4 linked regions of the Ovis aries genome follow. The protein of the gene in region 1 binds, or shares a complex with, the protein of each later gene. Links are inferred from orthologs where the notes say so. Each region holds a gene or a part of one and is shown in the gene's direction. Other genes may lie near its edges. The genes, in order: CASC3, UPF3B, MAGOHB and MAGOH.

Region 1 (7,991 bases):
GGCTATGGGTTTTCATTTGTAACTCCATCTGCTTAGGAGAGTGGGCTCTCCACAAGGGAACCTGCTGTGAACTTCTTTGCAGCAAGAATGTAGAGAGAAATAGGACTTATTCCACTAGGGGCTCTCATCTCACACCTTAAGGAGAGGAAGGAGATTTCTAGAAAAACTAGGCCAGATTTTCTTTGTTCTACCATCATTTTAATATGGCAAACTGTTTGGCTTTCCTACTCTGACCTATGTTATGTTCCTTTAAAATGTGCCCAAGAAGAAAAAAGACCAGTCAGTGTCTCTTTATTTTATTCTTTGATTCCTCTCAGTTTCTTAATTTTCAGCATTTGTTGGATTCCTTTGGATATGGGTTAGCAGATATCACCTTTGTTCCTACCCAAGGGACTTCCCAGATTCTGAACTCAAGTTATACTAAGAGGAATCCATGAGGTGCTATTTGGCCAGACTTATGTGGATTCTAATTTCCTTGATTTTCCCTCTACCTAGTATCTCTTTATTTTATTGCCCCCTTTTCTAGATCAATTCTCCTTTGATTTGGACATGTTGAAGTTTTTTTGAGAAGGAGGTTGGAGAGTAGATGAGCAAAGTTCCAAGAGCAAAAAGACAGTGTGTCAGAGTGTGGGGGGAAATTAGTCTTATTTTTTCCCTACATGGGATACAACACTGTGAAATTCAATCTTCAAGTGAAGGCCCTGCCGTTCTCCTAAAACATAGTTCTTTGTTTCTTTCTTTAACAAAGTTTAAGCTAGTGTTAATAAATTAAAAAAAGAAATTGCTTGTCTGTCCACTTCAGCTTTGTTTTATGCCCATTTCATATTGTTGTCTGTGTTGTAATTCATACTTTTGATACCATTTCTGATGTGTAAAATTGGTTGTCTTGTAAATATCTTATAAAGAGTTCAACTGTAAATAAACTATTGTGGCTGTTAATTTTTGAACTTCTGCTTCAATTTATTAGATTTATTGGGAAGCATTAAACAGTTTTGCTTGGATATTTTAAAGCACTAGAAAAAGAAATCCACTTTCACAAAATAGAAAAACACCATTTTCCCTTTTATATGAGATACTAACTCCCATTTGTGTATGAACACAGTGTATGTTCCATCTCTTTGTCCTGGGTTCTTCCTTACAGATAATGGGCAATTAAAAAACAATAAGAGATGATAGGATGGTTGGTGCCTGGTGTCTAATTAATAAAACCTCAGCTGGAAGGACCTTATAGGTCATGTAGTCTGACCCAAGTACATGATTTCCCTCTGACAACATTCCAGACAAATGAAATCCAGCTTCTTCTCTAACACTTTCGTTTTCTCCTGTCCAGTTTTTCCTAAATGTTAGAGAACTCTTCCTCATTGACAAAATCTAAGTTCTTGTAACTTGAGCCCACTGGTTCTTGCTTTGCTTTCCAGGGTGACAAAAAAATCAATTCCTCCTTTCCTCATAGTCCCTCAAATACTTTGCTGTGGCAGTCCCAATCTTCATGGTTCACATTTCAGAGCTCTTACAATTGTTCCTCAAAAGAATCTTGAATGTTTCAGTTCTCTGGATGAGTGAACAATTTGCTCAAGTCCATTTAAAAATTGAATGCAGACCAAACAACTGAAAGGCAAAGTGGCAGACTATCACTTTACTTATTTAGACACTAAATTTGGCAACCTTACTATATCAATTTACTTTGTGATTGATAGGATCCTCTAGGTTTTCTTTTTTTTAACACTTTAAAAATCATATATCCTTCATTTTGAGCCCAAGCAGTTGGTTTTTGGACCTGTATTTACAAGTTGTCACATTTGACCACTTGTTTAACCAGTTGAGCTCTATTTGGATCCTGACTATCTCTGAAGGCATTCATAATACCGTCTAGTTTCATAATGTCTACAAATTTGATAAGCATCAGTAGCCTTGACCATATTATTTGTAAAAGCATTACACGGGACAGAGTCCTGTGCTATGATAGTGACTTTCCTCGGGTGTATATTATTGTGTACTCCTTTAGGTGCACAGTTAGCTCATGCTTCTTATATGTTTTTTATTATGGTACAGAGAAAATATACAAATTTTTTTTCCTTGCTGAAAAATGTGTTGCTAAAATCACAGCATTCTGTCATCTACCTGCTTGGCAAGAAAATCATTTCGGGATATTAAACCAATGCCCGTTCCTATGATTATCTCTAAGTCGGTTCCAAAATTTTAGTAAGATTACCATCTGGTTTAGACGGTAAAGAATTCGCCTGCAATGTGGGAGACCTGGGTTCAATTCCTGGGTTGGGAAGATCCCCTGGAGGAGGGCATGGCTACCCGTCCGTGTATTCTTCCTTGGAGAATCCCCATGGACAGAGGAGCCTGGTGGGCTACAGTCCATGGGGCCGCAAGGAGTAGGACACGACTGAGCGACGAAGCACATCGTATTAGCCTGCACTTTCAGGGAGGTGATGGCTGGGGTGGGAAGACACATGAAGGGGGAAGAAATGAGAATACAGGGGAAACACTACTGCTGCAACACTAAATCCTCGGGCTTCCCTACAGACAACTGGTTTCTCCCCCGCCCTTTAGTTTAAAATAGACTGATAAATCTCAAGCAGCACAACGGCTTCAGAGGTTTCTTGATTCGTGGTTTTTACTAAGCAAACGAATGCAGTCAAACGATCTGCTTCAAACGTAGGTAGAAATGAGAGATGAAAAAGAAAATCATAAAACAACTCTAATGCCGCAGTGAAGCTGTGACAGGTCAACACTATCCACTCAAGCCCAAGATGGCCGGGCAAGGACCGGAGCCGACTGCCCGCCCAAGAGCAACTCTCCTCGCCAGGGGCCCAACCGCCGGGAAGTCAGGGGCCTCACCACGCCCCCTCATGTCACCAATTACGCAATTCCGCGCACCCGCAAACGTGCTGCAGCGTGCCAGCTCCGCCCCTAGCCCCTCCCCCCGAAAAACGGGGCGAACAGCGCCGCAAGTGAAGCATGCTGGGACCGGCTCTCAAGCCTCCCGGCAGCCCCTGCGACGGGCGGGGTACGTCAGGATCTGGCCAGCGGCGGCCGTTCTCCGTAAGATGGCGGACCGGCGGCGGCAGCGCGCTTCGCAGGACACCGAGGACGAAGAATCTGGTGCCTCCGGCTCAGACAGCGGCGGTTCCCCGGCGCGGGGCGGCGGGAGCTGCAGCGGTAGCGTTGAAGGCGGCGGCAGCGGCTCTCTGCCTTCCCAGCGCGGAGGCCGAGCTGGGGCCCTTCATCTGCGGCGAGTGGAGAGCGGGGGCGCTAAGAGCGCTGAGGAGTCGGAGTGTGTGAGTGCGCGCGGGCGGGGCGGACCGGGGGCGGGGTGTAGGTGGTGATGGGAGGCTGGGAGTTGACTGTAGATGCTGAGGCGTAGTGTGTTGGAGAAGAGGAGAGCGATCCCGGTGCGGTTTGCATCCGGAGCTCCAAGGGAAGAGAAGGGATTGAGGGTTTGTTGGGGGACAGGCGGAACTGCTGCGGATGGAAAGCGGATATTTATTCAGAAATTGGAACTGGAGGTGGATAGATGGGGCCTCCCTCAGATCTTGTCTGTTAAAGATATACCTTCCCTCGTCTCCCTTTTCAACCATTTTGTGTTCATTCTTCGTTTCTCCACCCCCTGGAAATCATAGAACTAACCCATGTCTTCTTTCCTTCAGGAGAGTGAAGATGGCATCGAGGGCGATGGTGAGTAGCATCATGATAGAGATCTTTGCCCCCAGACTCAGGTCACCTGTCTGCAGCAGTTGACATCCTCTCAGACTGTTCAGTGGAGAAGGAAATGGCAACCCACTCCAGTATTCTTGCCTGGAGAATCCCAGGGACGGAGGAGCCTGGTGGGCTGCTGTCCATGGGGTCGCACGGAGTCGGACACGACTGAAGTGACTTAGCAGCAGCAGCAGCAGCAGACTGTTAAGGGTTTTGGGGAGGGTGCCACAAAGGGGCTCTTTGTAGTTTAACGTTCAAGAGCATAAGTTTTAGCTGTATGATCTTGGGAAAGTCAAAGTCACTCTTTAAACCTGTTTTCCATTTGTAAATGGGGACTCATAGGTTGATGTCAGGATTAAATGAGAGTTTTAGCTTGACCCACAACAAGCACTGGAAGATGTATTTGTAAAATTTCTGTTCCATTTTTTTTTCTTTATATGTTTCTGTTTTCTTTCAGCTGTTCTCTCGGATTATGAAAGTGCAGAAGATTCAGAAGTGAGTGTGATAGATTCTTTTTCCTATGATGTAGGTTGGAAAATGTGTTTTAAAAATTGTACCCACCTGTGGTTTGAAAGCATCTGACCTGTTTGTTACTCCACTTGTGCATTCTTCATTTATGCTTCTGAAAAACTATTATAAAAAGTGTTGTTCAGTTATAGAGAGGGAAGCTTTGTATAAACCTCTTCAGGCCACATGTGTTACACTGTTAATAGCTGACCTTTCCCCCTATCTAAAGAAAATAAGATGCTAAATATGAGAATGAGAACATTCTTTGGCCCTTCACAGGCTGTTTCACACTCCGTTTTATGATGCCTCGGTGGTGAAACCAACCATTTGGGTATTTTTTTTGAGTATATCTGAAGACCTCAGAAGGGTAGGATTCTGAGTGGTTTGTGTCAGAAACATTTCTCAGTTTATGGATGAGGTTTTCTGTCTTTAGCAGAAAGTTTCCCTAAGCCAGATGTTTGTGAACTTAGTTTGCTTTGATTGGATAAACTAGAGATGTTATCAGAATGACTACTTGTTTCCTGGAACTGTTGAATAGAGCTCTGATTTATACAGAAAGAATTGGATTGTGGATTCAAAGGTTCATTCTGTAAATTTTGTAGAACTGTTACTACATACTAGAATTACCATTAAGCCTTGGAGATGCAAAAGTGAACACTGTAACAAAGTTCCTATGTTTCGGAATCTTACAGCTTAGTAAGGAAGTCAGACAAACATTGAGGAAATCATAGGACTTGGTGACAACTGCTGGCGGTTGGGTTAAATAAGGTGTTAATGACTGGGTACTGATTCCATATTAGGCAGTCAGAGAAGAATAAATTGGAGTTAGCCAGGCAAATCATGTTCTAGGCGGAGGGAACAATAGCTGCAAAAGCTCAGAGATAGGAGGGAAGGTTGACTATCTGGAAACTTGGAAGTAGTTTGGTGTGGCTGGAACATCGTTGGGACAGGATGGATACCAGAAATAAAGGCAAATTATAGAGTAGGGGTCAGATCATGCAGGGATTACTTCTTTCTCTTTATTAAATGCCTTCTCAGTGCCAGGAGCTGTGCTAGGCCCTGGAATAAAAGATACATGGTTCTGCTCTCATGGAATTTACATTCCAGATCAGAGAGGGAAAATACAGACAGTTAAGTAATTACAAAAACCTTTTGTTAAATGCCATGATATGGGACGCATAGGGTGCTTTGGGAGCACATGGCAGGGGCAGCTAACTGAGTATAGGGTGTTTGGAAGTATTTACAGGAGGGACTCTTCAAATAGAGACCTGAATGATGAGTAGGAGTTAGCTAGCTAGAATTTTCTTAGCAGAGGAAACAGTCCGAGAAGAACGTCCAGAAGGGGTGGGATTGGAGGATAGTGAGTTGCAGGACATGGAAGATTTAGTATAACTGGTGGTAAGGATGAATCTCAGTCTAAATCTTAAAGCACTTTATAAGCCTGGTTGAAAAAGTATTTGGATTTTATTCTAAGAAAGTAAAACAGGGTTTTAAACAAGAGTATGATATGGAGTATGGATTAGACTTAAATTTTAAAGCAGTGTTTGTCAGATCCAAGGAACGTCTACATGAAAGAAAATCCTGTTGAAACAGACTCTTGCAGGAGGGCAGACTCAGATATTTATATGTTAACAACATCCCAGGTTGATTCACAGTAATATTTTAAAATTATTGTCTTTAACAATTGTTTTGTGTGCAGTGGGGAGAATTATCTGAAGGGAGCAAGATTAGAGGCAGAAAAACTAGTTAAGAAAGCTACTGTGGAAGACTAGGAAAGCAGAAAATGTGGCGGCAGTGGCAACAGAAGTGGGCAGCACTGGCAGCCATTTAGGCTGTGGGATGGCGAAACGTGGTGACTGGTGGTTGACTGACTTTCTGTGAAGTCAGTTGTAAAGTTACCCACAAAGAATTAAAGGAGGATGAGAGGTTTGGGAGTGAGTAATGTTTGCAGTAGTCATTAAAGAATGGAAACATCGGAAAGGCTGCCAGGCAATGTGGAGTATTCAGTGAGGTTTGGTGATTGTGACTTTGTAGCAGTTTACCATTATGTATATAATGAGTTTGGATGTTACTCTAACAGCAAAGAAAGAAAGGCTGGCTATTGGAGGCTTAACTGGAGGAGGATCTGAGGATGAGGGAAGACTGAAGACAGAGCTGTTAAGAGAGTAGTCCAAGGAGCGTGATAGTGCCCTAAAGAAGGGACAATGGCAGTGGCACCGCAAGACGTAGATTTGAGAGATATTTAGGTATTATTATTAATAACAATTTCTTGATTGATTGAATGTGGAGCCTGAATTAAGGAGTCAGAGAAGAGAATTCTGCTGAAACTGGAAAGACTGCCGTTTTGGTTCCTATAAGCTTTAGATGCCTAGCACTGTTTGACCTCTCCTGAAGGGAGATGTTGATCCAGGTGAGGGCTGGGACCTGACCAGATGCCTGTGATAGAGCCAGAAAGTTTACTGACAAGAACAGCGACAGCATGGTGAGGGAAGGGAATGGGGTGAGGGAGCTTGGTGATCTGGGTTTCTCTAGCTTCATCCAAAGCCCTAGAATAATGCTGAATGTTTTGACTCTTGCTCATGAGTGTCCTCTGTTGTTTTGTCCCAAGACTGACTTCTGCCTCACATAACCTGTCTGCAATCCAACCTTCAGATTTTAATATCCATTTCCTTCAGCTCTGAGCAGAATGCAAGCTCCTGGAGGGCTGAGACTGTCTTTGTCACTGTTCTATCCTGGGAGCTTAGAACAGTATCTGTGATAGGCCCTCAATAAACTTTCCTTGGATTAGTAAATGAAATAGAACTGCAAGGACTTTTCTTCTAAATACATTTTATTTTGGAGTAATTCTGCATTTACAAAAAAAATCGCAAAGAGAATATAGATGTTCCACAGGCTTTTCACCCAGTTCTTCTAATGTTAACATTTAGAATGACTTATTTAAATTAATTTGGTTTTTTTGACACACATTCCTGTGTTAACACTGCAATTCTACTTTACCCTTTACATTTGAGCATTTATCATTTGGAGAAATCTTTTTTCATAAGTAAAGTATCATAATACAATTTCATTACATGTGAGATTCAGCTCCTGTTGTAAAAACTAGTAATTATAAGGGGAAAAAAAGTGTTGTTACCTTAAGAAAAAAGATTGTGCTAATAATGTTGAAGTTCAATACATTTGTAATAGCAAAAAAAAAGAAAAAGGAGTCCAAGTAATGCCCAGGTTGGAGAATGGTGTTGGTCACTAAGAAAGGGACCACAGGAGGAAGAGATTCCGGGAAGGACAGTGTTGGGTTAAGTTTTGGATGTTTTGAGATTGAGGAACAGGTGCAGCGTTGATGTGGCAATATCTGGTATGTGTTGCCTAAAATTTAAGAGAGGAGTGTAGTTCTGTTGTGTCAAATAGGATAGTCACCAGCCATATGTGGCTATTCGAGTTAATAAAAAAGTTCAGCTCTTCATGTGTATAGGTAAAAACATTTCCCTCATTCCAGCGAGTTTTGTTGGACAGCACTGATCTAGATTAAAGAGTTTGACTTGATATTTTGCCTTACGTAGTTATCTGTTACTTGATTGCATTTCTTCTTAGTTACTAACTGTGTATACCTAGATGCTATGCTTAGTTTTGCCTGTTTCTTAAATTTTGATCTGTCTCTTAGTCTGACAGATTAGTTTTTCATCCTTTTTTTAATAGTGTATCTTTAAAAAAGATTTTGATGGTCACTCACTCATTGTGCAACTCACCATGCTATCTGTATCCATTGTATTTCTTGCAAA
Region 2 (7,464 bases), on another chromosome or scaffold:
TGGATACTGTAGCAAGGCAGCAGTGGGAAACTGATGAGCAGGCTGTGGTCTTTTTCTCTCTCATATTCTGAATGGAGTCGGGAGGGGGTTAAGGAAGTGGAAAGTGGGAAGGAAAGATGATACAGTTAAGTGGGTGCCCACCGTACTTTCTGAACTATGTTTTTGGTGGTAATTACCTTGTCTGAAGACTGTTGATGTTTCTTTGCAGAGGATGAGAGAAGAAAAGAGAGAAGAAAGGAGGCGGCGAGAAATAGAAAGAAAAAGACAAAGAGAAGAAGAGAGGAGAAAGTGGAAAGAAGAAGAGAAACGAAAACGCAAAGATATAGAAAAGCTAAAGAAGATAGACAGAGTTCCAGAAAGGGACAAATTAAAGGATGAACCAAAGATTAAGGTATGAACATAAGTTAAACCGACTGCATGTTGCTGAAAATTGCATGTACTATATCTACTTCTTCAAATATGCATGCATCTTGTATTGGTGTAAACTATTTTAGTTTTGTTTTTGTCTTTTTTGGGAGGGAGTGAATCTTTCCTGTAATATTCATGTATTACTCTTAATTTAAGATAATTTAAAAGATTAAGTAGTTTACATGGGATTTCTTTAGTGCAGTGTTATTTATAATCATTGAAAATGTTCGATTTTGGATTATTATTCTCTCAGTTCATATATAAGGGCGTAGGGCTGGCTGGCATGAATTATGGGTTTTATTCAGCTTTTCCTTCATATTTGATACATGAAGTTGCCTCATCTGTTTGTTTTCCACTGTCTTCAGGTACACAGGTTTCTGTTACAAGCTGTGAATCAGAAAAATGTAAGGACCAAGTACATGATACAGAGCACCTAGTATCATGTCACACACACACAGGTCTTAGTTAATAAGTCCTTTTGGTGGCGGTGGTGGTAGTGTTACCTGTAGAAAATGCCCTCAGGCTGACTTGAGTCTTAAAAGCTGAACCGTTTTAAATTCCTGATTTAGAAAGAAACCCAGATGATTTCCTGATGCTCTGCTGTGTACCCAGAAGCTTCAACAATGTGCAGTGAGAGGACAGCCATGCCTTAAGAGCTCTTTCCCCTTCCTTTATACACCTCTCATACCTGGCTGCCTTGTGGGAGTTTTTGGAATATACATCCTCTCCCCTCTCACATGATTCCCCACGTTACCTTCTTGGGTCTCCCTGGGAATCTGTGAGCAGCAGATTCTGATTAACACAGTGCATGTAGGAAGAGGAAAACCTGTGGAAAGACTCCAGCCTAGCTGCTTCCCTTCCAGGGGCCTGGCTTGGGCAGCCCTTGCTCCAGCAAACTGCCCAGGGAAGTACTTGTACATAGTATGGCAGAGAAAGTCAGAGAAAATCTCACAGAGATGATGGCTGAGTCTCCTTTTACCTCCTCAGAATTCAGCCGGTCAAGTCGCTAGGGCACCCCGAGGCTCTCCAGGACTCACTGGTGATAAGGGGCTTGGCGGTGGCAGGGTGGGGAGGTTCTCGTCTTAATTCCTTCTATCAATCTCTGTGTCTGCCCTGCTACAAGCAACCTGACTCGCTATTTCTGTCAGCAAGGCAGAAGGTCAAGCCGGCTATGCTAGAGACGTTCGTTAATAGTCTTATTAGAATAATGAACATCTTGGCTCCTGACGAAGATGTTCATTAGAGAAATAAGAACACTTGCAATGAAACCTGCACATGTTATCCTCACTTTGCACTGGTGCCTCTATAGTGTCCACTCTGGACTCACTGTTTTCAGTGGCTGTCTGTGTGCTGAAATACTTCATGCTTAAGTCTCATGCGCGATGCTTTGCCTTTAGCTTCGTGGCTTGTATGATGCCTTCACACTGAGATGAAACTCTGTATGATGCCTTCACTCTGAGACTTGAAATTCCTAAAAATCTCTCTGAATATCCAACACTTGGGGGTGTATTCTAGAGAGATTTGTAGAAGCGGCATAATAAACTTCTGTTAACAATCTGAACTTTATAAACCACTTTTTTTAGAATTGCATTCTGTCATATATACATATGACATTGAACAGTTCCTATTCAGTAGAGATGGAACTTCACAGTTCTGTTGTATGAGATATTTGGATTTTTAAATCAAATGCCAAATAATTCTTGCTTATCATCTCTAATGATAGTATGATTGTACCATCATAAGTATGTAGCTACTCTCAGACTCAAGGCAAAATTATTCCTGCAATGGATCTCTCCTTTGGTGACAAGGTATTTGTTGTTCTAATAACTGTGTAAAAATAGTCCAGCAATAATGACCTGGCTAGCATTTTAAATTTGTACCATATTTTCCTATCAAGTTATACCGATATGCTGGCTTGCTACAGAAGGCATACTTGAAAGTAAGGGTTGATCTACTCAAAGGTTGACCCATTTAAAGCCAAAGGAGTCTTGATCCTATTGCCACAAAGTGATTAAACCACTTCACTGGAGTGCATAACACTTTCACATTAATAGCACCCTTTTAGCAAATTACTGCTCTTTGTGCACTGTTTGTTCACCTGAAAGTTTGAGTACTGCAGAGACGGGGCCTTCAGTAGCCTGCATTGAAAATATTTAGTATATTGTTTTCTTTGCGAGAATCAGAAGACAATCCCATCCTTCAAAATAAACCTAAGTTTGTTCTCTTTAAAGCTGCTCAAGAAGCCAGAAAAAGGAGATGAAAAAGAATTGGACAAAAGAGAAAAGCTCAAGAAATTGGACAAAGAGAATCTGAGTGATGAAAGAGCCAGTGGGCAAAGTTGTACATTGCCCAAGCGTTCTGAGGGTGAATTTAAAGATGAAAAGCCTAAGAGGTCGGTAGTCGAGGGCTCTTGGGTACATTTGTTTTCGACCTGTTTCTGGCTGCTAGTTTTACTGCTGCATTCTGGACTTGTACCTGAATCAAGATACTGGGTTTTATGAGGGGTATGGGGATGAGGAGGACAGGTTTCAAGTATTTTAGTATCTTAATCTGGTTGAATGACTTGGGGTTTTTTTCCAAATTGCTTTTCAAAATAGTAGTTTTTTTGTTTTTTTCAATGCTGCTCCGAAAGTTCAGCCTCGTTGGAGTGGCCAAGGCAGGATCAGAGTGTTCCTTGTGATTAGAAGAGCTTCAAGGGTGCATTCTCAGATTTGTTTTTCGTGCAGACCTGAAGATGAGAGTGGCAGAGAATACAGGGAGAGGGAGCGGGATTATGATCGAGACCAAGAGCGCATCCTGCGGGAGAGAGAGAGGCTGAAGCGGCAGGAAGAAGAGCGCCGGAGGCAGAAGGAGCGCTATGAGAAAGAGAAGGCTTTCAAGAGAAAGGAAGAAGAAATGAAGAAGGAGAAAGAAACACTTCGGGATAAAGGAAAGAAGCCTGAAAGTACAGAGCCAGTAGGCAGCTCAGAAAAAACTGAAAAGAAAGAAGAAGTGGTTAAGAGAGATCGCATAAGAAACAAGGTGCTGCATTTCATTAAACTTCTTTTCATGAGGATTTTCTTTGTCTTTTCCTGCAAGTATAAAGGAGAGGGCTAGCTCATTGTTATGGAATTTTAGGGGAACTTTATCTGTATCTTTTTTCAGTCTTGGTGGGGTCCTTTTATTAAAGTTTGTGTATACTTTTCAACGGAGAAGGCAATGGCAACCCACTCCAGTACTCTTGCCTGGAGAATCCCATGGACGGAGGAGGCTGGTGGGCTGCAGTCCATGGGGTCACTATGAGTCGGATATGACTGAGCGACTTCACTTTCAGGTTTCACTTTCATGCATTGGAGAAGGAAATGGCAACCCACTCCAGTGTTCTTGCCTGGAGAATCCCAGGGACAGGGGAGCCTGGTGGGCTGCCATCTATGGGGTCACACAGAGTCGGACGCGACTGAAGCAATTTAGCAGCAGCAGTAGCAGTACTTTTCAAACATACACAAAAGTAGAGAGAACAGAGGAGTAGTAGGATGTACTTATCACCCAGCTTTGGCAATTATCACCTTGTGGCCAATTTTCTTTCTACTCTACCCCATCTTACTCCTATGGGATTATTTTCAAGCAAAACCTAGACAGATAATTTCTTCTTTAAATATGTAAAGACATATGTAAATATGTAAAGAGTAAAGACTTTTTTTAAAAAAGTTTGGTCACACTGTGAGGCAAATGGGATATGGGATCTTAGTTCCCCAACCAGGGACGAAACCCATGCTCTCTACAGTGGGAGTGTGGAGCCTTAACCATTGGATTGCCAGGGTTTTTTCTTAATAAAATAACCCTAATATTATTTTTCTTAATAAAATAACCCTAATAGCATTTTCACACCAGACAGAAGAATTTCTGACAATAACTCCTTAGCATCCTATCTACCCAATGTATAGATTTTCCCAATTGTCTCATTAACATCTCTTTTCATTAACATCTTTTTTATAGGCTCTAAACAAGGTCCACAAATTGTATTTGCTTGAAATGTTCCCTTAAGTCTCTTTTATTTTTATTTTTTTTTTTTTATCAGTCTTTCCGGAAACTGATCCGATTTTAAGTCTCTTTTAATCTAAGTAATTCCTCCTCCTTTCGTTTTCTACCATTTCTTTGTTGCAGAAACCAGTTTGCCCTCTAGAGCGTCTAATAGTCCAGAGTGGCTAATTATATCCCTGTGGTAACACTGAACATGTTCCGCTACCTTCTATGTTTCCTTGAAAACCAGTAGTCATATCTAGAGCAGGGTCAGAAATTTTTTTTCGTTCAAGGGCCAGATGGTAAATATTTTAGGCTTTTGTGGGCCACGTGGTCTCTGTCAAAACCAGTAAGCTTTGTAGGAAAGTAGGCATAAACAGCATGTAAAAGAATAAGCATGGCTGAGAGCCAAACTTTTTTCACAGAAAGAGGTGGGTGGCCCCCTCATCTAGAGGCCTTAATATATTCAGACCCAATTGTTGGCAAGAATACTTGATAGGTGGTGGTGTGCAGTTCCTACTGCATTGTATCAGGAAGCATACAATGTCTTGGTATCCGTTTATTGTGATGTTAAGATTGACCAATAGTAATGGTACTATGGTTATGTGATAAGATGTTCTTGCTCTTAGGATACACAAGCTGAAATATTACCAATGAAGAATCATATGATCAATAATAATGGTATTATGGTTATGTGATAGGATGTCCTTGCTCCGAGGATATACAAGCTGATACACAAGCACTTATTCTCCAGTGGTTCTGCAAAAATAATAATGTATCTATGTATGTGTGTGCCTGCATACACACTAGAGACAGCAAAGGCATTTTTGACAAAATGTTAATCATCATGAATCTAGGAGAAGGGTATTAGGTATTCATTGTACAAGTTTGGCAACATTTCTATAGATTTAAAATTTTTTGAGATAAAAAGTTGGAAAAATGGCTGATCAGTTAGCTCAGGTATTGTAAGCCTGATCCATGTAAGATTTTGTCAGCCTTTCTCCTAATGATGTTGTTTAGATTCATTATTTCATAGGGAGAGATTGGAAAATGTTGATATATATACAAATTCTGCCTTTCCTGTTGCATTTATGATCTGAAATTCTTCCACAGAGAGTTGTTTTCCCTTATCAACTATTTGGTTAGTCTTGAAATTCAGTTCACACAGGAAAGGCAAAAATAGCACTTGATCCATTCCTTTTATTTACAGTATTCAGAGTAATGCGTTGGTGTCCCAGCAACTTGTAGGGGTTATCAATGAGTTTTGTTCTGCTTAGTCTTTAAATAACTTGTGGATTTAGAAATACTTGGTGAACTCCAACTTGTTATTATCAGTTATTGCCCTTGTTGACGTTTAACTTGTACTATCTTTGCACACTGGCAGCCCCATCATCAGCTTCTCTAAATACTATGTGGCAGTCTCATCTGTTTTAATGTTTCTTCTTGTTAAAACAGTGAAATGTTTTGCTGGAATTACTCGCTTGAGAATAATGCTTTAAGGCTCTTTCATATGTCAGGGAGAAAGGACAAGGAAGGCTCATGTTGTCTTTTGTTGAATTAGGGGAAAAAAGGCCTATACATTTAAGTTTTCCAGGGTCATATTGTGATAAACCAAACACATTACTTGAACTGAGAGGTACCTGGTGATGATATTGAGGCCTATTTAGGAACCTGAGATGTAAAGTGTTACCTAGAGATTCTCAAGCTGGGTTGTCACCTTGTCAAATCTGAATTAAGAGAGAGTCATATTTGTGCTAAGTTACTAGTGTCTGAGCTCATAACTTCAGGGACTTTGCAGTATTAAGAATTGGCATTCTTTATTATTGTTTTCACTCCTAAAATTTTCTTAAGTGGCGGTGCATTTTAAAATCCATTTACTGATGGGGAGGAGAGGTAGACAACAACCACAGTTTCTAAATAAAAACTATTCAAGCTGATTCAGAACATCTTGAGATAGTAAAGAAAATTAGGCAGTAAACTTATCAAAATTTACTCTGGGCATATAAAATAATACTTGATAACTATTGCTTATAAATAGTTGTTTTTTATTTATAAAAATAAATAGTTGTGAAATAGTTGTTTTTCTTTGTAGGTAGGGGAAAGGAAGCAGGCAGTTTGAAGCCAAGTAACCATCAACACTTACTGTCATGTACTGTGCCCTCAAATTTTGATCTCGTGTGGGCTCTCACTGGTATATATATTCCCCTGGACATGCTTAGTAGCAGTTTTGTAACATGAGCATTTCATTTTACTTTAGGATCGCCCAGCGATGCAGCTTTACCAGCCAGGAGCTCGAAGCCGAAATCGACTCTGTCCCCCTGATGACAGCACCAAGTCCGGAGATTCAGCCATAGAAAAAAAGCAGGAAAGTGGTATTAGCCATAGAAAAGAAGGAAGCGAGGAGTGATAGGTCCAAATGGCCTTAGGTGTCCTGACTGTCTAGGCAGCCAAAGAGCACGAATTAAGCAATCCAGAAGTGCCTTCAGGGCAAAGGAATAGAGAGAGAGAGAAAGGGGGTCGCTGTGCTGGTGGGGTACACTGCAGAGGAGTATGTTTTGCGTTAAAGCAGGAACCCGATTGCAGGTTCAGATTGGAAGTACAATTTTCATTTTTCATGCAGTTCCTACAAATTTAAAGTGTCAGACAAAGCTGAGGGGGAGAGGACACGCATTGCAGTTTGCAGGCAAGAAGTATCACGAGAGGACTTATTTAGGTATGACACGAGAAGAAGATAGAAGTGGCTTTAAAATCAAAAGGTTTTCTTAATCCTGGATTGAATTTTCTTAAATTTCAATGGAGCAGAGTCACTGTGAAGTCTCGTTCAGATCTAGTTATAGTCATTGTTGGTGATAACTGTTGACTTTGTGTAGTGTAGAAGCAAGAAGCATGTAATTGTAATACAAGTACAGTGAAGGATATAACACATTTTCACTTATGCAGAAATTTAAATAGTCATGTCATGTCGATATCTTATGTCCTAAAGTTTTAGGATTAGTTTGGGAACAGCTACCCACTCCAGTATTCTGGCCTGGAGAATTCCATGGACTATGTAGTCCA
Region 3 (7,514 bases), on another chromosome or scaffold:
ATTCCCTTCAAGGAGTTATATTTTGGTGGATGACATAAACATAAAACTAAGTGTAAAGCGGTATGCATATTAGGCGCTGTGTTCATGCTTTGGACAAAGTTCTGGGAGGGCATGAAAGAAAAATTAGGGGAGGTTCACATACTAGCAAAAGGGAAGAATATCAGATACATCAGGTAGAAGTCAGGGTAACTACATTCTGCAATTATTTAGGAACCTTAATCCCTAATCTTCCTGGTTCCCCTCAGGTTGTTTCTAAATTTAGCTCAGGAGCCAAATTTACTTGAATTCTCTTTATCTTTTCTTTCTTTGGACTTCCCTGGTGGCTCAGATGGTAAAGCATCTGCCTACAATGTGGGAGACCTGGGTTCAATCCCTGGGTTTATACTGTCTTCAGGGTCTTGGCATGTGACCAGCTTTTAGCTGGTCAATTTTAGCCAGTCACATGGATGAAACAGTCTTTTCTTAATCTTCAGTTCAGTTCAGTCACTCCAACTCTTGGCGACCCCATGGAATGCAGCAGATCAGGCTTCCCTGTCCATCACCAACTCCTGGAAGCTAAGTTCAAACTCATGTCCATCGAGACAGTGATGCCATCCAACCATCTCATCCTCTGTTGCTCCCTTCTCCTGCCTTCAGTCTTTCCCAGCATCAGTCTCTTCCAATGAATATTCAGGACTGATTTCCTTAAGGATGGACTGGTTGAATCTCCTTGCAGTCCAAGGGACTCTCAAGAGTCTTCTCCCAACACCATAATTCAAAAGCATAAATTCTTCCACACTCAACTTACTTTATAGTGCAACTCTCACATCCATACCTGACTACTGGAAAAACGATAGCTTTGACTAGAGGAATCTTTGTCAGCAAAGTAATGTCTCTGCTTTTTAATGTGCTCTCTAGGTTGGTCAGGACTTTTCTTCCAAGGAGTAAGCGTCTTTTAATTTCATGGCTGCAATCACCATCTGCAGTGATTTTGGAGCCCAGAAAAATAAGTCAGCCACTGTTTCCGCTGTTTCCCCATCTATTTGCCATGAAGTGATGGGACCAGGTGCCATGATCTTAGTTTTTGAATGTTGAATTTTAAGCCAACTTTTTCACTCCTCTTTCATCAAAAGGCTCTTTAGTTCTTTGCTTTTCTGCCCTAAGGGTGCCGTCATCTGAATATCTAAGGTTATTGATATTTCTTCGGCAATCTTGATTCCAGTTTGTGCTTTATCCAGCCTGGCATTTCGCATGATGTACTTTACATAGAAGTTAAATAAGCAGGGTGATGATATACAGCCTTGACATACTCCTTTCCCAACTTGGAACCAGTCTGTTGTTCCATGTCTGGTTTTAACTATTGCTTCTTGACCTGCATACAGATTTCTCAGAAGGCAGGTAAGGTGGTCTGGTATTCCCATCTTTTGAGGAATTTTCTACAGTTTATTGTGATCCACACCATCAAAGGCTTTGGTGTAGTCAATAAAACTGAAGTATATGTTTATGTACTGTTGAAGCCTGGCTTAGAGAATTTTGAGCATTACTTTGCTAACATGTGAGATGATTGCAATTGTGCAGTAGTTTGAACATTTTTTGGCATTGCCTTTCCTTGGGATTGGAATGAAAGCTGACCTTTTCCAGTCCTGTGGCCACTGCTGAGTTTTCCCAATTTGCTGGCATATTGAGTGCAGCACTTTCACAGCATCATCTTTTAGAATTTGAAGTAGCTCAGCCGGAATTCCATCACCTCCACTAGCTTTGTTCATAGTGATGCTTCCTAAGGCCCACTTGACTTTGCACTCCAGGATATCTGGCTCTAGGTGAGTAATCACACCATTGTGGTTATCTGGGTCATGAAGAACTTTTTTATATAGTTCTGTGTATTCTTGCCACCTCTTCTTAATATCTTCTGCTTCTGTTAGGTCCATACCATTTCTGTCCTCTATTAAGCCCATCTTTGCATGAAATGTTCCCTTAGTATCTCTAATTTTCTTGAAGAGAATTCTAGTCTTTCCCATTCTATTATTTTCCTCTATTTCTTTGCATTGATCACTGAGGAAGGCTTTCTTATCTCTTCTTGCTATGGAAGAACTCTGCATTCAAATGGGTATATCTTTCCTTTTCTCCTCTGCCTTTAGCTTCTCTTCTTTTCACAGCTATTTGTAAGGCCTCCTCAGATAACCATTTTGCCTTTTTTGTATTTCTTTTTCTTGGGGATGATCTTGATCACTGCCTCCTGTACAGTGTCACAAACCTCTGTCCATAGTTCATCAGGCACTCTGTTTATCACATCTAATCCCTTGAATTTATTTCTTACTTCCACTGTATAATCATAAGGGATTTGATCTAGGTCATACCTGAATGGTCTAGTAGTTTTCCCTACTTTTTTCAATTTAAGTCAGCTCCTAGTCTTGTTTTTGCTGACTATATAGAGCTTCTCTTCTTTGGCTGCAAAGAATATAATCAGTCCAGTTTCAGTATTGACCATCTGGTGATGTCCATGTGTAGAGTCTTCTCGTGTTGTTGGAAGAGGGTGTTTGCTATGACCAGTGTGTTCTCTTGGCAAAACTCTGTTAGCCTTTGCCCTGCTTCGTTTTGCACTCCAAGGCCAAACTTGCCTGTTACTCCAGGTGTCTCTTGACTTCCTACTTTTGCATTCTAGACCCCTATGATGAAAGGGATATCTTTTTTGGGTGTTAGTTCTAGAAGGTCTTGTAGGTCTTCATAGAATCATTCAACTTCACGTTCTTCAGCGTTAGTAGTTGGGCCATAGACTTGGATTGCTGTGATATTGAATGATTTGCCTGGAAACAAACAAATCATTCTGTCATTTTTGAGACCGCACCCAAGTACTGCATTTTGGCCTGTTTTCTTGGCTATGGGGGCTACTCCATTTCTTCTGAGCAATTCTTGCCTACAGTAGTACATACACTGGTCATCTGAATTAAATTCACCCATTCCAGTCCATTTTAGTTCACTGATTTCTAAAATGTCAGTGTTCACTCTTGCCATCTCCTGTTTGACTACTTTCAATTTACCGTGATTTGTGGACCTAACATTCCAGGTTCCTATGCAGTCTTGTTCTTTACAGCATCGGACTTCACTTCCATCACCAGTCACATCCACAACTGGGAGTTGTTTTCTCTTTGGCTTTGTCTCTTCATTCTTTCTGGAGTTATTTCTCCACTCTTCTCCAGTAGCATATCGGGCACCTACCGACATGGGGAGTTCATCTTTTGTGTGTCATATCTTTTTGCCTTTTCATACTGTTCATGGGGTTCTTGAGACAAGAATACTGAAGTGGTTTGCCATTCCCTTCTCCAGTGGACCACGTTTTGTCAGAACTCTCCACCATGACCTATATGTTTTGGTGGGCCTACACAGCGTGGTTCATAGTTTGGTTGAGTTAGACAAGGCTGAGGTCCATGTGATCAGTTTGATTAGTTTTCTGTGATTATGGTTTTCATTCTATCTGCCTTCTGATGGTTAAGGATAAGAGGCTTCTTAATCTTCGATTGACTATTTTCAGGGAAGTTTCATTTCAGAACAGTAGTTCTCATCTGCCACCACTGTTTCATAACCTTTCTGTCAGTAATAATGAGACCCAAAGAGAGCAGTTCCTTAGAGATTCACCTTATTAAGATAACCTCTCATTTTAGAGGATCTGGATCACGTTACAGCTGTACCTAGGCAACTGACCAGCCATGAGGAGAAGCGTACATTCAATGTAAATCAGAAAACAAACTAGCCAGTTTTTATTTGGAAGCAGCATGTAGTTTGTATTGCTTCTTAATTACAGTTCTAAAATAGTAGCATTACCAGAATACATTGAAGTGAAGGAAAATAAATGAGAACATTTTGGAGTCGTTAGAAAGGCGTGTATATTGGTACAAAGTAGATTTAAGTCTGAATCTTGTGTGACTCTGAGCAAGTTACTTAACTCTCTGTTTTTCTTAACTGTGTATAGGTGAGAGAATGAAACCTACTTTTTAGGGTTGTTTTACAGATTAGATGAAATGCTCTGGGTAACTCAGCACCAATAAGACATAAATAAGACAATCACAATAAAGTAAGGTAAACTTTAGAAGAAACATTAGTTCTTTTTTGAGATTCCCTATGTAAATCATGATGTTGCTTAAGAAAATGGGTTTTGAAAATGACTCTCTTATAATATGAAATTATATTGAAGGCATAGAGTATAAACAGTTGATTGGCTTCAACTTCAGCCAGCATAACAGCAAATGCGTATCCAGCATTGATCTTATGCCAGGAGGGAGCAAATATTAATAAAAGTAGTAGTGTAATATAGATTTTACCTTCAAAATTGCTTATGATGTCATTTCTTTATTTATTATTATCTTTAGCAGTTTTTGCTGTTATAGGTTGAATTTTTTTGTACTTCCTACAGGAAAACTTAGATATGCCAACAACAGCAATTATAAAAATGATGTCATGATCAGAAAGGAGGTACGTTCTTTTCAGATGTCTAATTCTTTGTGTTAAGCCTGTTTTCCTCATGTCTGTATTTTTACTTACCTGTTTAAAGTACACATAAGATTTCCCTGGTGGCTCAGGCGGTAAAGCGTCTGTCTACAATGCGGGAGACCTGGGTTTGATCCCTGGGTTGGGAAGATCCACTGGAGAAGGAAATGGCAACCCACTCCAGTACTATTGCCTGGAAAATCCCATGGACAGAGGAGCCTGGTAGGCTACACTCCATGGGGTCGCAAAGAGTCGGACACGACTGAGCGACTTCACATTCACATTCACATTCAAGGCTATAGAGAAGAGGCTGATTTATAGATTGAAAAAGGATTCTTTGTAGCATCTATAACAGCAAAAGAATCAATCTGAATATATTAAGTTGTAGTCTCACATTTGAGCATATAAGTTAATTCATTTTATAATTAACTTGGTCTTTTTACTCTGCTCATTATTTAAAATTAATTGACAATAATGTTTTAAACACAGGATGCATTTTAAATGAAAGCCTCAAAAGTTAGGTGTAAGAAAGAGTTCCCCGCACTGTGATGTGTATTTGAATTTGACACCGTTCACCTCATAAATTTTGTGTTAACCACTCAGATATTTGATACAAGATTTTAAGGAGGGAATAATGATACAAAGGGGGAAAAATATGTTTTAAAGGAAAGGGCAAGAGAGTGAAGAAAAAGCAATAAGAAGGATGAATGATTCTCTCCTTTTAGAATCAGAATTAAATTTTTCTTTAATATTCTATTTAAATACTCAGGGTTTGTAACTCCGTTTTATTATTTCTGTCTAAGTTGTGTCAAGACATAGACCCTAACATTTTTATTACTTGCTATCAGGCTTATGTACACAAGAGTGTCATGGAAGAACTGAAGAGAATTATTGATGACAGTGAAATTACAAAAGAAGATGATGCTTTGTGGCCTCCCCCTGACAGGGTTGGCCGACAGGTTTGTATTTAATAATTCTTTAAATGCATAAATTGTAAACATTATTAATAGAATTGTTGTGGTTCTCCTTATTTATCTAGAATAGATCCTCATTGAATCTTGGATTTTTTTCATCTAGTAGGCACCTGGTAAATGGTTTATAATTGTATTTCACTTTGCATCAATTTGTGAGCTACCTCCTAGTAATAAAGGAGTCAGTTTAGACATCTTTCTGAACAGTCTTCTCTGCAGCCACCGCAGCTAACCTTAGGGTGTTTTCACAGTATTAGAATTAATTTCCATTATAGGTTAAGTACTTTTATAAGGACTAATGAGTTCTTGCCTGATGAACTGTAATCCACCAGGCTCCTCTGTCCATGGGATTTTCCAGGCAAGAATACTATAGTGGGCTGCCATTTCCTCCTCCAGGGAATCTTCCTGACCCAGGGGTCAAAGCCAAAGCTGTGTCTCTTGCATCTCCGGCACTGGCAGGCAGATTCTTTACCACTGGCACCACTTGGGAAGCCCAATGATAATAAATAATAAAAATAGGTAGGAAAAAACTCAAATGTTTGATGAATTTGAGAATTAGGATTCTCACTATGTAAAATTCACTTTCTCCAGATATATAACTTTGAAAATTCGTATTTGCTTCTTTACACTCCAGAGAGATTTGATTGGTTTCTTTGTTCAAACTGACCATTGCCTTTGCCTGTCATATTCCCTTCAGAAAAATTGATATTTCTCAAAGAGCTGCTGAAGAGCTCTGAAGGCCTGATTTCACTCTGTAGAAAGACAGTTTGATTTCTGAATTGGGTCTTTTCAACTGCTGGAAGAATGAGATATGACTGCAGGAGGAAGAAACACTTAATTTCGCTTTTGTGTGTTCCTGAGGATTATACTCTATAACAACTTCTTTGACTAGAAGAAAATGTGGAGAATAGATGCTGATGCTCTGTAGCAGTAACTTAACGCTTCTATTTAAAGAAACATTATTTAGGAAAGCAAAGGTAATAGTTAACAGTATTTATTGTATTCACTGTGAACACTTTTAAGAAGTAAATTTAAATTTCCATTTGTTTTAGACACACATATATATATATAGGCATTAAAAATCAGAAACAATAGCAGCAAACCTTTTATTTATCTCTTAGACTCAAGGAGAGAGCAGTGTTTTCATCTACCCACTTGATCATGTGTTCATGTGTTTTGGATAATGGGGAGGATTACTTCTGCCGTTGAAGTTGTCTCTTGGATCTTTAGGTCAAAGATTTTGATTGCTTGAGAGTCTTAGTTAATTATCCATTCTGTGTGTGTGCCATAAAGGGGCATAATTAGATCTTTTCTGATCAAATACAGATCTGGGAATGTCTTTAATGGCATCTGTTAATTTAAACTGAAAACTTAATACAGACATAGCCTCTTAATTTTTCATTTTAGATTTGCAGATAAAATGTGGAGAAAAATTTATACTTAATTTTGTACACAAATCTTTCAGTTTTACAATCCAAGAGTTAAATATTAGTACCATCACATATTAGTGGTTGTAAATACAAACAGTTTTTTTTTTTTATCTTGCTTTTGAGTCTTGGGCTTTATATTTGTAAAATCAGGCAATAAAGCTGACCTGAGAAAGACAGGCTTTATTAGCCCAGTTTTGGGGATTACAAAGAACATGTTTTTAAAGTCCCTATCAGCAGGTCTGATACACAGTAGGTGCTAAATAGTGCTATTATTAGCATTATGCAGTTTATTTGTAGAGCCTGGTAGAAAGGATAAATGTATTTGTATTTATTATATTAAAAATAGGCTTAAACCCATATTCTTAGTTTTTATTGACATCACTATTTCTGTGTGCCTCTGAAGTCTATCATTCATTTGATAGCATCTTCTTTGTCAGATCTCTGGAAAGCAGTTCTTGATTCATCCTAATACTGGGGAACTCTGAGGAGTTGAGATTTTTACTTTACAGACATAGTTAACAAATTGTTTCTTTTTTATTTTTACCCCCTCCTCTATTACGGCTAGAAAACTTGCAGCTAAAATCAGGACCTCTTGGTTGTAAGAGGTGAATTTTTACACTAACTACATTTCTCTGTTTTATTTTTTTCAGGA
Region 4 (7,999 bases), on another chromosome or scaffold:
CAATTCTTCGGCGTTCAGCTTTCTTAACAGTCCAACTCTCACATCCATACATGACCACAGGAAAAACTATAGCCTAGACGAGATGGACCTTTGTTGGCAAAGTTATGTTTAGTGCCCCCAAAATACATATAGCACACGTGGTGTTCTCTCCCTCAATTTTCCTTCTCTCTCTCTTCATCTGGCTTAACTCCTATTTGTCCTGAGTACTATGCTTAGGGAGCCTTCTCTGTTCTCTCAGACTCAGACCTAACTCGTAAGGTTAAGTAACTCTGTGCTTCCACAACAAATTTTGCCTACTTGTATTCCAATGCTCTGCCTCTCACTCCCATGCCAATGAGATTGTTTTTACCAAGGTAACCCAGGATCTCCTTAATTATAAACCTTGGAAATACTTTCAATCCTTTTCTTCCTTGACCTAGAAGCAGCATATAACACTGTTGGCTCTCCTGTCTTAAAATACTCTTATTTTGGTTTCCATGATACCATACTCCTGATTTTTCCCCTACCTTTCTGGCTTCATCTTAATCTCCATTGTGAGTTTCCTTCTTCTAATCTTTCCATTTTACAATCCAGTCTACAACATTGCACAGAGTGATCTTTCTAGAATGCAGCCGGTCTTGTCACCAACACCCCTTTCCACTTTCCTGCTTAAAGCCCTTCATCTGTTTTCCTTGCATTTAAATCCAACAGCCTTGGGTTTTAACCCAAACTCCTTAACATGGGTTATAAGGTCCTTTGTGATTAGTCTTGTACCTCTTCTCCAACTGAATTACTATATTCTCAACTTTTTTTTTTTCTTTTTCTGTATTATAACCAAAAAGTTCTGAGCCCTCTGTCTGGAACATTTTCTTCAGGAAGACTTAACTTTGTCCCCTAGACTGAATTAGGAGCCCCTGCATGAGCTGCCATAGTATTCTGTGCTTCCCCTATTTATAAATTTGATGCCTACATTATAATTGCTTATATGCTCCTTGACTGCCATCACTGTATTCCCAGCACATGACACACAGTAGATGCTCAGTAAATTATGCTAACCTCAAATCCCATGGATGGAGGAGCCTGGTAGGCTGCAGTCCACGGGGTCGCTAAGAGTGGGACACCACTGAGCAACTTCACTTTCACTTTCAGACACATTAGACACATAGACCATGCTCTTTCAGCTATACTTTACTATGTGGTTTCATACCCCCAAGCCTGAAATTACCTTACAGCATGATTGGAGTTGGGTGTCCTTTAAATTTTCTCATCACTTTTTGATATTTGCCATGTCTCCAGATGCCCAGATTCATCAATTACATTATAATTTTTATAATTTCACTCTTGGAAAATAACCCTGTGGTAATTACCCAATGTCTCTAAATACTTAACTCTATTACCACCTCAAGACTGTTGTGAAAATTCAAAGAAAATTCAAAGAAATTAAACACACTCAGCCTAGGGGCTGACATTTATTAAGTGATTCCCTTATCTTTTTTATACAAGTCCCTTGTTACCACCCACATCCAGTGTTTTTTTAATAAGATGCCTTATAGCAATTTGGAGTTTGAAAAGTAGTTTTCAATTTCCAAGACATTGTTTTTTATTCTTGCAATAGTTCTGCCAGATGTGTAACATTACTGCTGCTGCTGCTGCTAAGTCGCTTCAGTCGTGTCTGATTCTGTGCGACCCCATAAACGGCAGCCTGCCAGACTCCCCCGCCCCTGGGATTCTCCAGGCAAGAGTACTGGAGTGGGTTGCCATTTCCTTCTCCAATGCATGAAAATGAAAAGTGAACATTACTATGCTCACTTTAAAGATAAGAAACCTGAGGTCCAAAAAGTTTAATCAGTTCACCTTTGGTCACAGTGAATCACTGTCACACGAGGGATTATTTTAACACAAATCTCCAGTGACATTCCCCCCACCCACCACCCCAGCACCCACTCTTCATTCTATTATCAATACTTTTTCGGGGAGAAAAGTAGTAACGGCAAGATTGGGAATGAGATTCAGGGACGACGCCAGGAGTCGGACACTACTGAGCAACTTCACTTTCATGCATTGGAGAAGGAAATGGCAAGCAGCCTGAAGACAGAATAGTGCTATAGTCGCGCGTGCTCAGTCGCGTCTGACTCTTTCGCAGGCCCTCAAAATGATGCCATTTCAGCACTGTCTCTAGAAACAAATCCGTTTTCCATTTGGCTGGAACTTAGACGAGCTAAAGCAGGTTTCTAATAAGAGTTTAGTTGCCCTTGGCCTAATCAAGGAGGAAAAAATTTTCCACAGCCGAGAAAACATTCGCAGTCAACCACTTAGGCCTGAAAACACACGAGCTTCCTGGACAGTAGTTCACAGTCCTGATTCAAACTGCGGAGAAAAAGTAAACACCAACACACAGGTTCACTGTGGATGATTTTGGCTTTATTGGTTTGGAACCAGTATTTTTTAGGTGCTCCGTCCGAGGCGATTCAATTGCGCGGATGGAGTGGGAGATCAAACATTCAAAACTTAACTCTTACTCACAACAACTCATCTAGAGACCAGTGAGGCAAAAAGGGGAAAAAGTGAGGTAGAAAGAGATAAAATGGAGAATAAGTGCGGGAGAGTTAGTTGCAAAAAAAAAAAAAAAAAAATGGCAAGGTCCACTGTGGATTTAGGGAAAGCGTCGCTGAGAAGTTTCTTGAACTGATTTTTAAACAGCAGAGTTCAGTCGGAGCCAACGTTAGAGACGCGCCGCGCCGCGCTGCGTTCTCCCAAGAGGTCGGATCCTTTAACCCTGTTTTACTGATGGGACGACCTAGGTTCAGAGACGGTGAAGGGCCTATTTCGACTCACACTGTTGGGTATCCTAATTGAAACTGGAGCCTGGGCCTCAAGCCCAATGGGGATACTGACGAACAGCCCTCACCCTCTCCCAGTCGCAGGCCGAGGGGGCGGAGCTGAACAGACTTCGCCTCCGGGGGAAAGGGGCTTTATTCCGGCGGGAAGGGAAAAGTCGCCTGGTCCCATCTCCGGAAGTGGGAGGAGAGAGGGAGTCGCTCCGCGACGCACGATGACGTTTCCTAACGTCACTTCCTCGCGCCGCAGTAAACGTCAGTGTTGGGCGCCTTTAGCGGCGGTGCGGATTGCTCTTAAAAGTTTGGTCTTGTCTCCGTTTTGCGAGCCATGGAGAGTGACTTTTACCTGCGTTACTACGTGGGGCACAAAGGCAAATTCGGCCACGAATTCCTGGAATTTGAGTTCCGGCCCGACGGTGAGAGAAGCCTCCCGGCTCCCCGGGAGCGAGGACTATGCCTGGGGGCGGGAGAGTGGGGGGGCCGGGGATCCGTAATGTACGAAAAACTAGAGGAAGGGACCAAGGGTGTGAGGCGCCGATTTGGAAGGAACGATCCTTGTCCGCCCCACTGATTCTTCCTGTCCGTGTGCTGGGGCTTCTGTTTAGTGACGATTTTGACCATATTGCTTTATTCAACGAACCTTTCTTGAGCACCTATCTGTGCCAGTCTCACTTCCACAATCTGGGGTGTAGGAGTGAACGATAAACAAGCTTCCTCTCTCGTGGAGCTTGTATTCTTTTACTGGGAGGTCGTAAACAAAAAAATATCCCAGATAGTGTTGAGTGATCAGAAAATAAAATGATGGAACAATTGCTGATGGGCCGCTTTAAGGAAGGATAGCTATTGGAGAACTCGCTGAAGAGCCGGTGTTCGAGCTGAGCTCTGATTGACAAAGAAGGAGCCAGCTCGGGAAAAGAACATTCTAGGCAGAGATGAGCTAGGCATGTTTCAGGTGGCCATTGTGGCTGAAGAGCAGTGAAAACTCCGGGGAGAATAGTAGGAGATGATGTCAATTAGGTAGGCAGGGGCCACCTCATACAGTCTTGGTGAGTTTGGATTTTTTTTTCTAAGTGCAGCAGGAAGCAATTGGGAAGTTTTAAGCAGAGGTGTAATCTATTTTTGAGAAAGTATTGTAATTATTAGGTGCAGAATAGGCAAGAATGAAAACTACTTAACAGGAGATGGTTACAGTTGTTAAGAGAAAAAGGATGTTGGTTAGAACTATAACAGGAGATGGTTACAATTGTTAAGAGAAAAAGGATGTTGGTTAGAACTAGAGTGATAGTAAAAGTAGAGAAGGATTTAGGATACAGTTGGAGGCAGAACCAATAGGACTTTGCCAATTGATAGGATTTGGTGAGGGACCAATATGGTGAAGGAAAAGGAGTGAAAGATGGCAGAAAGCTTCCACTAAATGAAGGCATAAAAAATGAGCTTCTTGTAGTTCAGTTGCTAAGACTCTTTGGGACCCCATGAATGAACTGACAAGCCCAAATTGTGGAGAAAGTTATGTTAACAATGATAAGACAGTGTATAAGGTGTTGTAGAAAGAAACAGAAAAGACTCTGGGAGTGGAAAGAAGGCACCTAACCCATACATCGTTTACGGGTGAACTGTATTTTGGTTAACTCCAGCTCTGTGTGAGAGTCCTGTTGTAGGAATGAGGCTGGAAATGAGCTCAGCTTAGCCGGAAGCCACATTGAGGATTTTGGACTTTATCAAGAAGGTAGTGGGGAGCCGTTGTCAGTATTAAAATGTCAATATTAGAGTGACCCAATTGGATCCATCTGTTACTGTTTCACTCTGTCCACTCTACGGAGAATGAACTGAATGGAGAGAGACTTGAGGCAGAGACACAGTGCAGTAAGGCATCAGTTGTTTTCACTCTTTTTAGTGTGCCTTCTATAGGGAAAAAATTATCTCCTTTATTTCCTTTTATCTTCTTCATATCCACCATATATACCCAAATCAGCCTGTTTGATGAACAATGTTACAGAGGGCCTTGTATACCAAAAATGCTCAATAATAAAACCACAGCTTTTCTATCATGTTTAGAAAAGGAATAGATCAGTGTTTCACAGTCATATGTAAATATATGTAAAAACCATTTTATAGTTTTCAGAAACTTTCACAATTCTTTTGAGCCTCTGAAGGCCCTGTGTGTAGGTAGGTTATCAATCACTCCTATTTTCAGCTGAGGACATTAGCCAGCTGAGATACAATTTGCCAGTCACAAGAGTCTGTTCTTTTATCACACCTGAGCTGTCTTTTGCAAGAATTGTAAATCATTGTCAGCTGTAGTTTTGGCTAGAAGGTTATTTAATAGTGTTCACTGGGGAAAAAAAATAAATAACTTAAAGTTTGAGAATTGTTTTATTTAGTGGAAACACTGGGGACATAAGCCTGGGAGACAGGCTCTCAGATAGCTTTGAGGGACTATTCTGAAGAGGTGAGGGATGAGCCAGGATATATAGGAGGTTTTAGAGGGGAAAAAAAACCCAAAACAAACAAAAAACAGGTAGAACATCTAAAGGTTACTGTTAATAAAATACCAGACATCTAAAGTTAATGAAGTTAGCATTTTTCTTTGTATGGGAGGATGCTGGGCTCTTTGAAATCATTCCTTTGATATTCACCTTAACTGTCCAGGACCAGCATCCTGTTTTCAACATCCTGAATCCCCTCAGAGTGCACCCTTGGGGAAGGGGCTGGGGGTGGTGTGGCTGCAGTGGCTGATGGCTTAATGGCTTCAACAGCCTTTGTTTACTGACAAGGCAGGTGGCATTTTTTTGTTCACCAAAGCCTAAAGTGAAAAACTGAAAAGACTAGTGTTGCTGAAACACCAGAGGGGTAAATACTAAAACTATTAGACACTTTGAAGGGTAAGTTAGGATACATTTTAAGCAATAGCTGATAGTCTTGGTAGGCTAATGACGCTTTCTTTATGTTTTTATTATATATTGAATTTGTTTTTTGTCCCTCACAGGGAAATTGAGATATGCCAACAACAGCAATTACAAAAATGATGTCATGATCAGAAAAGAGGTAATGAATCTTCTGAGGGCCTTTCATTCACTACCATTTAGCCTTGTGTCCTGTTTTTATTCTTTCTGGGAGTAATGAAAGTGAAGGCGCTCAGTCGTGTCCGACTCTTTGCGACCCCATGGACTGTAGGCTCCTCCATCCATGGGATTTTCCAGGCAAGAGTACTGGAGTGGGTTGCCATTTCCTCCTCCAGGGGATCTTCCTGACCCGGGATCAAACCCAGGCCTCCTGCATTGCAATTGTGGGCAGACACTTTACCGTCTGAGCCACCAGGGAAGTCCAATCTGGGAGTAATACTGAAAGATAAAGAATAGGAAAGTATAAATGTCTCTGTAGACGGCTTCTAAAGTTTTTCTCAAATCCTCTTTTAGTTTTTCTTTAATAGTGATGAGTTAATAACTGGTAATCATTGAAGTCTTGCAGATCTTGGTTTTGAACCTTGAATCTTTTACTAACATGTGACCTTGGGAAAATTTCCTGGTTGAGCTTGATAAGTCTCAGTTGCTTCATCTGAGAAACATACCTGTCACTAACTTAGTGTTTGATATATTCCTTGGTGGTGGTTGTTCAGTTGCTAAGTCATATCTGACTTTGCAACCCCATGGACTGCAGTACACCAGGCTTCCCTGTCCTTCAGTATCTCCCAGAGTTTGCTCAAAGTCATGTCCATTTAGTTGGTGATGTCCTCTAACTATCTCATCCTCTGTTGGCCTCTTCTCCTCCTGCCCTCAATCTTTCCCAGCATCAGAATCTTTACCAATGAGTTGGCTCTTTGCATCAGGTGGCCAAAGTATTGGAACTTCAGCTTCAAGATCAGTCCTGCCAATGAATATTCAGGACTTATTTCCTTTATGATTGACTGGTTTGATCTTCTTGCTATCCAAGGGACTCAAGTCTCCAGCACCCAGTTCAAAATCATCAATTCTTTGGCGCTCAGCCTTCATTATAGTTCAGCTCTCTCATCTGTATATAACTACTGGAAAAAAAAATAGCTTTGTTTATACGGACCTTTGTCAGCAAAGTGATGTCTCTGCTTTTTAATATGCTGTCTAGGTGGGAGGAGAAGGGGACGACAGATGGCATCATCGACTCAATGGACATGAGTTTGGGTGGACCCTGGTAGTTGGTGATGGACAGGGACGCCTGGTGTGCTGCAGTCCATGGGGTCGAAAAGAGTCAGAGCGACTGAGCGACGGCACTGAGCTAGATTTGTCATAGCATTTCTTCCGGGGAGCAAGTGTCTGTTAACTTCATGGCTGCAGTCACTGTCTATAGTGATTTTGGAGTCCAAGAAAATAAAGTCTGTCACTGTTTCCATTTTTCTCCCATCTGTTTGCCATGAAGTGAGGGGACCGGATGCCATGATCTTAGTTTTTTGAATGTTGAGTTTTAAGCCAGCTTTTTCACTCTCCTCTTTAACCTTCATCAAGAGGCTCTTTGGTTCCTCTTCACTTTCTGCCATTAGGGTGGTATCATCTGCATTCCCTGGTACCTAGCACTCAATAGAGCTCTTTTAATTTGCATTTGAGTAGGCAAAAGGGGAGTGTGGGAAAGCACTTAACATTGAATGCATGTTAGATTCTAGTCATGACACTAGGTACCACATCTGTAGTCCTATTTTAACCCCTATTGTAAGCCTCTATGATGGGTGGTGTTACATATCCTTTACAGATAAGACATTGAAGACCTATATATCAATTATGGGGCTTGTTCAAAGTTACTTTTCCTAGTAAGAAACTGAGCAGGAATTTAGACCTCTGCCTGCCTTTGTGAAGTCCGTGTTTGGTGTGATTTCTGCCACACCATTGAACTTCATTAAAGCCATTCTTTCCTTTTAATTGCTTTGTCACATTTGAAAATGTCTTAATAGTATATTTTCATACTGTAATATTTAATTAGCGATCAGTATTAAGCTTACCCATACATGTCAGCATCTTCACTTTTTTTTAAAAGTAAAATGTAAAAGACGTGTCTGCTCTTCAGAAGCATGTCATTTAGTTTAAAATAACCTGAGTTACTCACAGATCTTTCTTTGGGGCTCAGGTGTGCAAATAGGTAAGGAGTAGGTCCATATGAACAGGATATACCAAGAAACAAACAACTAGATGTGGGATTGAGGTGTAGTCATTGGGCTCTTC

The links.
Region 2: CASC3 (region 1) and UPF3B share a complex: the UniProt entries of both Homo sapiens proteins name them as parts of the mRNA splicing-dependent exon junction complex. The link is inferred for Ovis aries from reciprocal best matches to the Homo sapiens genes CASC3 and UPF3B.
Region 3: CASC3 (region 1) and MAGOHB share a complex: the UniProt entries of both Homo sapiens proteins name them as parts of the mRNA splicing-dependent exon junction complex. The link is inferred for Ovis aries from reciprocal best matches to the Homo sapiens genes CASC3 and MAGOHB.
Region 4: CASC3 (region 1) and MAGOH share a complex: the UniProt entries of both Homo sapiens proteins name them as parts of the mRNA splicing-dependent exon junction complex. The link is inferred for Ovis aries from reciprocal best matches to the Homo sapiens genes CASC3 and MAGOH.

What each region holds. Positions count from the first base shown.
Region 1 is NC_056064.1:40,180,863-40,188,853, forward strand, and holds the start of CASC3 (protein CASC3), read left to right. Parts: upstream 1-2,617; 5' UTR 2,618-2,762; coding exon 2,763-3,290; intron 3,291-3,659; coding exon 3,660-3,687; intron 3,688-4,165; coding exon 4,166-4,203; intron 4,204-7,991. UniProt on the Homo sapiens protein: Required for pre-mRNA splicing as component of the spliceosome. Core component of the splicing-dependent multiprotein exon junction complex (EJC) deposited at splice junctions on mRNAs.
Region 2 is NC_056080.1:114,677,790-114,685,253, forward strand, and holds part of UPF3B (regulator of nonsense transcripts 3B), read left to right. Parts: intron 1-208; coding exon 209-391; intron 392-773; coding exon 774-812; intron 813-2,639; coding exon 2,640-2,800; intron 2,801-3,134; coding exon 3,135-3,429; intron 3,430-6,664; coding exon 6,665-6,814; 3' UTR 6,815-7,464. UniProt on the Homo sapiens protein: Involved in nonsense-mediated decay (NMD) of mRNAs containing premature stop codons by associating with the nuclear exon junction complex (EJC) and serving as link between the EJC core and NMD machinery.
Region 3 is NC_056056.1:204,665,691-204,673,204, forward strand, and holds part of MAGOHB (protein mago nashi homolog 2), read left to right. Parts: intron 1-4,387; coding exon 4,388-4,446; intron 4,447-5,309; coding exon 5,310-5,420; intron 5,421-7,512; coding exon 7,513-7,514. UniProt on the Homo sapiens protein: Required for pre-mRNA splicing as component of the spliceosome. Plays a redundant role with MAGOH in the exon junction complex and in the nonsense-mediated decay (NMD) pathway.
Region 4 is NC_056054.1:27,772,179-27,780,177, reverse strand, and holds the start of MAGOH (protein mago nashi homolog), read left to right. Parts: upstream 1-3,074; 5' UTR 3,075-3,144; coding exon 3,145-3,232; intron 3,233-5,802; coding exon 5,803-5,861; intron 5,862-7,999. UniProt on the Homo sapiens protein: Required for pre-mRNA splicing as component of the spliceosome. Plays a redundant role with MAGOHB as core component of the exon junction complex (EJC) and in the nonsense-mediated decay (NMD) pathway.